Nothobranchius furzeri: one gene and its partner. The protein of the gene in region 2 interacts with the protein of the main gene of each other region in a biochemical or structural test. Links are inferred from orthologs where the notes say so. Each region holds a gene or a part of one and is shown on either strand. Other genes may lie near its edges.

Region 1 (3,654 bases), on a different chromosome or scaffold from region 2:
ACACTGCCGTGAATTCTCATCATCAGAAGCATTCAGTTCTTGTACATCTTCAGTGTGACCGGTCAAAAATCAGCAATGTTTCCTAGTTTTATACACACACCCATCCAGCTGTGTTCGTTTCCTTGTGCAGCTATTACCCTTTAACTTGCTTAAATCAATATCTTAGAAAAACAATTAACTCTTCTTTCTCTGCACTTTGCTCCTTATTATCTCATTCCCCTGTGTTGTTATTGGTCAGTGTTCAGAGCCGGTGTCATACAGCCTCTCAGGAATTGGCCTCTAAAAATAAACTCACCTTGATGTATGGAACATGAAAAGCTGCTCCATTTCATTAATATTCACTAGATTGTATTATATTTCCCCCAGCTGCTGGGTGGGTTCCAGACCAATTTGCATGACTATATTTAGTGGCAGTTTCTACAGCAGCATTACATCGACTGTGTGTGTGTGTGTGTGTGTGTGTGTGTGTGTGTGTGTGTGTGTGTGTGTGTGTGTGTGTGTGTGTGTGTGTGTGTGTGTGTGTGTGTGCAGTTAAGGCTCATGCACCAGCTGTTCACATGGCAGTGGCTTTACCTGGCTGTGTGTGTTTGTAGTTAGGAGCAGGATTCATCAGCTCCAGCTTGGTTCCATGTGAATGAGTCATTCCATCCATCACTGCGTGGTCGCTGTGGAATTAGCTTTTTAAAAGCAAACAATGAGCTGCACGTCTTTGAAAACTATAACCCCACAGACGTGGACATATTTGAATGTTGACACAAGTACAATCAGGAACCAGTGACAAAAACTCAAACAAACATTTTTCTGACCCTTCATTAGCTTTCAATCTGGTCAGAGATCAGCTGAAAATCAAGCTGTTTATCAGTATTGTGAGGCTGCACTGACCTGAGTGCAGTGCTGATGTGAAAACAAACCTCCCTCAATATTTTTGTTTTAATAAGACGGTTTAAAGCCAGCAGCTGGATTTACAGCCAGCCTGCGTGGAGAGTTTGCTGACTGAATCTGCAGCAAAGTGCTGCCACACATAGGCAACAAGAAGTGGCTTTAAAACAAGGACCAACAGACAAGTTGTAGTACAGTAAAAACACACTTAGCATGCAAGTAAAATACTGAATCTTATCAGAAGACCAGCTACTAGCAGACAAGGTAAGACAACGCTAATCAGAAGGGAATTAGGCTGGAGAGTTCAGTAGAGCACACATGGAACCATGATAGGTTCAAGAACCAGAAACATGAACCGATCACAACAATTATTTATTCAATCAAACTTGTATTGCACAAGTGTTGGTCTCTTCTTAACCATTTCCTGCTCTTTGCAGATTACAAGTGGCCCCTTCCCTCCGACCTCTGCCCCATCTGGATCTACCTGGACGTTCTTTTCTCCACAGCATCCATCATGCATCTCTGTGCAATTTCTCTGGACCGATACATCGCCATACGGAACCCGATCCACCACAGCCGCTTCAATTCACACACCAAGGCTCGGGTCAAGATCATGGCAGTGTGGACCATCTCAGTGGGTAAGCACGCCAAGAAATGTCTGTGTCGGCAAATTCTTCAGTGTCACAAACATAAACAGAAACATGTCTGCAAGCCTTTATGTACAGGCACGTGAGTATGAAGCTAATGTTTTATTACAAGACATGTGGGGTAATCATAGGCAAAAACCCTGGGGGGGGGGGGGGACATGTCCCCCTCTGACATAAATGTGTGTCCCCCCCCCCCTCCCCCAAAACTCCATAAAACACTAAATGTTTTTCGTTTTAACAATATATTCACTTTTGTTGAATGCTCAATACAAGTTGTGCTACTTAAAAACACTTTGTGAGAGTTATAAGAAGTGAGAGATTTATGTCATTAATGTCACAAATATTAGACTAACTTGTTTCACTGTCATTTTACATTTATGTTGGACATTATTACTTAGAATCTAATTTTCTATTTCAGATTTTGTCTTTTTTTTGTTAGTTTTTTTTTATATAGTTCTACCTTTGACTTAGATATTCTGTTCAACAGATATTCATTTGGCAACATTCTGACTGGTTTCCACTCCATGTTTTCCTCTAATTAGATCAATTTTAAAGTCAAACATCTTTTTACACAGTATAGTAAGTTCACAGTGTTCTGGACTAGTTACATACACATTCATGCAAAAATAGTTTTCTTTTACAGCAGGAAAAGCTAAATGTAGGCCAAATAAACATATTATCAGCTGGCAGTGTTGGGAGTAATGCAATACAAAAGTAATTAATTACTGTAATGCATTGCTTTTTGCTGTAATGTGGTAATGTAAGGCATTACAGGGAAAGAAAATGGTAATATTTACTCGGTACAATTGTCAGTAATGCGGTAATTACAATGCATTTTTAAACCCAGAATCAAGATGTGTTCCTTAAAAATTCAAATTGCCGGAAGCCTGAAAAAAAGATCCAGTATCTGCATATATGACGTCATTTATGACTGACCTTATGTTACATTCACAAAATCACTCCACTAAAACAAAATAATTCACTTGCGATCGTTCATATCGGCGCATATTCTCTGGTACTTTCTGTACTTTTCTGACGTGCTTTGCCTCAGCTGAGTTCATAATCTGTATCCCGGTGATTTCAACTCATTGCTGCTGGAGCGCAGCGCATGTTAAGGTCCCTTTGGCTGATTAGTTAGAAAGTAGGAAGTCTAGGAAACCGTTTTTCTGGAAGACTGAGAAAAGATGCAGCATGCAGGAAGGTTAGAGGGAGAGGGCAGGAAATTATTCAAATTAAATCAAGAAAAGAAAAGTACTTGAAAAGAAAAAAAGAATAGGTAGATTTATCCCCAATGCACATTTTTACCAGTGAAAAGCAATAATATATAAGCATTTAATATTTATACATGTGATAGAGGAGGATCAGCACCTCCAAATCTGAGGCCATGGTTCCCGACCGGAAAAGGGTGGCTTGCCAACTCCGGGTCGGGACAGAGGTCCTACCTCAAGTGAAGGGGTTTAAGTATCTCGGGGTCTTGTTCACGAGTGAGGGTAGGAGGGATCGGGAGATCGACAGGCGGATTGGTTCGGCGTCTGCAGTGATGCGGACGCTGAGCCGATCTGTCGTGGTGGAGGGAGCTGAGCCAGAAAGCCAGGCTCTCGATTTACCGGTTGATCTACGTCCCAATCCTCACCTATGGTCATGAGCTTTGGGTAATGACCGAAAGAACGAGATCGCGGATACAAGCGGCCGAAATGAGTTTCCTCCGTAGGGTGGCCGGGCTCAGCCTTAGAGATAGGGTGAGGAGCTCGGACATTCGGGAGGGACTCGGAGTAGAACCGCTGCTCCTCCGGATCGAAAGGAGTCAGTTGAGGTGGTTTGGGCATCTGGTCAGGATGTCTCCTGGACGCCTCCCTGGGGAGGTGTTTCGGGCATGTCCTGCCGGCAGGAGGCCCCCGGGTCGACCCAGGACACGTTGGAGAGGTTACATCTCCAATCTGGTCTGGGAACGCCTTGGGGTCCTGCCGGAGGAGCTGGTGGAGGTGGTCGGGGAGAGGACGGTCTGGAGCTCCCTAGTTGGGATGCTGCCCCCGCGACCCGGACCCGGATAAGCGGAGGAAGACGACGACATGTGATAGAATCAGAACACCCTCAAAAGTCAGTCCCACATCCAGAGCTGTATCAAGGC
Region 2 (3,654 bases):
TTAAGGGATTACAAGAGGCTTTGTAACTTTTGCACAGCCCTTTTTCTCCACCACTCTCCTAACCACTCATCTCTGTCCTGTTAGATCAACGGACACGTTCTTTATGGCCACAGCCATCAGAATGCGTCGTCTATTATCAAGAGTTCCTCATCCAAAGTCAAAATCATCTTTATCAGGTAAAAAAAAACGGTTGTATTTGGTGTAATTCTTCTAAATGTCCACCAGAGGAAGCTATTGTTATTCTACAGATTTGCTCAGTGTTGCACAACATTTTTAAAAATGTATAGCAACAATATAATTTTAGTTGTCTGCTAGTTAAACATAATAGTAATTATTATTGGTATGTTTTAACTAGTTGTTCACAGAATGATTAAAAAGCAGCTTTTTTGTGATCAAAGATGAGTTTTACTACCTATAATTGCTCTGCTGCCTGAAACAGAGACGGACTCTCAGCCTCATCATCACCAGGGACATGTTTGACCTCTGACCCTAGTTTTAGTCTTATCCAGGATCCAACTACTTAACCCCCCTACTTAACTCACATCCCAGTCCTGACCCCCCCCCCCCCCCCCCCCCCCCCCTGCTGAAACAGACACAGAGCAGCCTGCGTATATTACCATTCCCTCTGTCCCGGAGCAGAGGAGCAGTGGTTTACGTGAGTTATGACTCTGTGGAACAGGAACACGGAGGCACTGAACCAGATGGCTGTGGGACCTGTGAGAGAGCACGAGGGAGGCGCAGAGGAGCCCCACGCTGCTGAGGTGCGATCATAAAACACAAGAACTCCCAACACACTCCCATCGTGCAGCTGGTAGAAAGTGACGCTTGACTTCACTTTACTTCTGGTCTTCTTGTACAATAATTAGGCTTTTACTCTGCGTCATGCATCTGACTTCTGTGTTTATCCCCCTGTGTGGTCGAGGGAACTCCCTAAACACCCAGAAAACCTCAAACTGTAGTTTGGAAAACTCATAATGCCGAGGTGGACCAGTGTGGATTTTAATGAGACTGATGTGCTGATTTCTTTTTAAATTAACGCAGCTACTTCATATTCTTTTTTTTTTTTTTACCTCCATCTTATAAAAATAGACTCCTAATGACCTACTGAAATGGTCTGCATCCTGTGGCTCTGACGCCACTCATGGTTCTTTGGCTCAGTTGAAATTGCTCCTTGTACTTATGAGCAAAAATGAGTCATTTTAACATTTAAGCTGATAAAAGACAATGATAATTTTAGCAGTTTTCCATTCCAATTGTTGCAAATATTCATGAAGTTTCTGCCACAGAATGAATAATAATACCAGTAGGTTTTAGTGCCAGATGCAACTAATAACTTGGGTTTTAACCAAAAGGTTTTAAAATATTAGTTTTACTGATGGGCTAATTGTTTGTGTTTTATTTTTGCTTGTTTTAAAAAATTCTACTTTAAAGGGGCATTATGGAAGTTTGACAGCCAAAACATGTATAGAAATAATAAATTTCTTCTTCATACATTCTCCTGCAAGGCCCTGGTCCTGTAGAATGAGCCCTGGCATTTTTACTGTGATTGCCTGTTTTTCCGTAAAATCACAGAAAAAGAGAGCTGCTCGGGTCGAGCAGGCTGCTTCATGCGCGTTCACGCACAGGCATCGCCCGTAGCATTTGCTATCCGTCGCTTTAGCAGCAGAGAGTGAGGTAGTGCCAACACAGCGACAAGTGATGAACCTAGCTACATTTCTGAGGACCATTAGCTACTTTCTTCTAGATTTTTCCTGCAAATTAGCAACAAAATAGCCATTTTCGCTCCGGACCGTTCTTTGGATTGACGTTGTTTCAGCTGTCATCAAGGGTATAAACGTTACAGATACAAAGAATGTCACTGGCACTTTAGCTCACTTAGTGAGACGTCTGACTCTCATGTAGGAGACCTGGGTTAAATTCTGGGTGTGAATAAAGAGTTTCTTTTTTACATTAGTGATAATTTGTTTTACAGTAATAAGACACCCAGATTTTTATTTGAGACTTGCCGAACGGCGTTGAATTCACAGGTAAAAAAGATGTGGGTTCAACTTTCATTTTGGAACAATTTTTCAAGCAAGGGAAGGGAATGATCTGAGCATGCAGGAGGACTGACCCATCATAAACCTTTGTCGGCTGTGCTGAAGAGAAAGGTACAGAACCAAATTATTTAATTAATTAGCTGCACGTTCTCCTGTCCTCTGTCCTCCAGGCCACACACACACACACACACACACTGCACGTTCGGCCGGCTGACGAGAAAGTGCAGCTGCAGAGACAGAGGGACATTATTTTTATTAATTTCCTGTGTTCTTCTGTCCTCCGGGCCACACACACACACACGGGACTGTCTCAGCTGTTATTTTCATTAAGGAGTGTACACGTACAGCATGCACGCCTCGTGCACGAGCCTACTATTGAAGCTGCCATTAAGCTTTTGGCCTGAGGGGGCAATCGCGAGCATAAAAATTCAAAACTCCGAAAAGTCCCTTTAAATTAAAAAGCACAAGGTAGTTTTATAGATGCACCAATTCTGGTGTTGAGAGCCAATACCGATTTCTGATGTTTGTACGGCTCTAAGCTGCCAGTACATAGTTTGGGCTGTCAAAGCTCAGTGGCCTAGTGGTAGAGTGTCCTCCCTGAGACTGGGAGATCAGGGTTCGATTCCTGGTCGGGTCTTACCAAAGACTTTGAAACAATGCGACCTAATGCCTCCCTGCTTGACACTCAGGATTAATGGGTTGGATTGGGGGTTAAACCACCAAATGGTTCCCGAGCGCGGCTGTTTCTGCAGCTCACCGCTCCCCCAGGGGATGGGTCAAATGCGGAGAACAAATGTCGCACACACATAAGTGTGTGTGACAACTATTGGGACTTTAACTTTAACAAAGGACTAAAATGAATAGATTTTCAATTAACTCGGAAATGGTTTGTTAGGATATAATAACTAAATAAATAATGAGTTTAAAAAAATTTTTTTGTTCTAAATTTATTTGAACTTAAATAAGGTAAAAAAGATTAATTAAAACTTGGCAATAAAAACCGGCATTATAAAATATTTAATTGCAAGCAGTCAGCATCCCCATATGTGGACATTGGTCCTCAGAGGTTAAGACAGGTGACAGTACCACACAGCTAGCTGTTCTTAAAACACAGAAAAATAAAAAATAATGAACTTCTGATAATGGAAGACTGATACTTTAAGCATTTTAATAATTTGTTATTTGCTTAGTTTATTTAATGGTTGTTCGTTAAGACACTAAGGTGCAGTTTGATGATATATTTATCTCAGGGTCATAGGGCTCATTTTCCTAGAGAACTACTGTGTTTATTCTTTTTTTTACTTTGAACTAAGAGATGGTAGAAATTTTGTAGTAAATGTCGTTGATTCCTGACTTAATTTTTAAATAAACATTAAGAACACTTAAGAAAATATATCAGGCTGACACATTGATCTGACTCTATTTAAATGTTCATCTGTTCTCTCACAGCCTCAGCTGGCTGCAGAATACGACGGTGATGCGTCCGAACATGTTCATCCTGTGGTAAAGGTTGAGGTGAGACACACCACCCTAACAAAGGTAACAGGAAGAACGTCTGGTGGCACGAATGAGGAAGGTGCACAAATAAATGCCACATAGTATGACAAAGAAAGTC

Evidence for each region.
Region 1: the proteins of multiple PDZ domain protein (region 2) and htr2aa form a complex in vitro, tested with the Homo sapiens proteins (2 studies listed by IntAct, with this or other methods). The link is inferred for Nothobranchius furzeri from reciprocal best matches to the Homo sapiens genes MPDZ and HTR2A.

Annotation. Positions count from the first base shown.
Region 1 is NC_091754.1:35,498,918-35,502,571, reverse strand, and holds part of htr2aa (5-hydroxytryptamine receptor 2A), read left to right. Parts: intron 1-1,316; coding exon 1,317-1,517; intron 1,518-3,654. UniProt on the Homo sapiens protein: G-protein coupled receptor for 5-hydroxytryptamine (serotonin).
Region 2 is NC_091742.1:68,620,640-68,624,293, forward strand, and holds part of multiple PDZ domain protein, read left to right. Parts: intron 1-84; coding exon 85-176; intron 177-679; coding exon 680-761; intron 762-3,488; coding exon 3,489-3,578; intron 3,579-3,654. UniProt on the Homo sapiens protein: Member of the NMDAR signaling complex that may play a role in control of AMPAR potentiation and synaptic plasticity in excitatory synapses. Promotes clustering of HT2RC at the cell surface.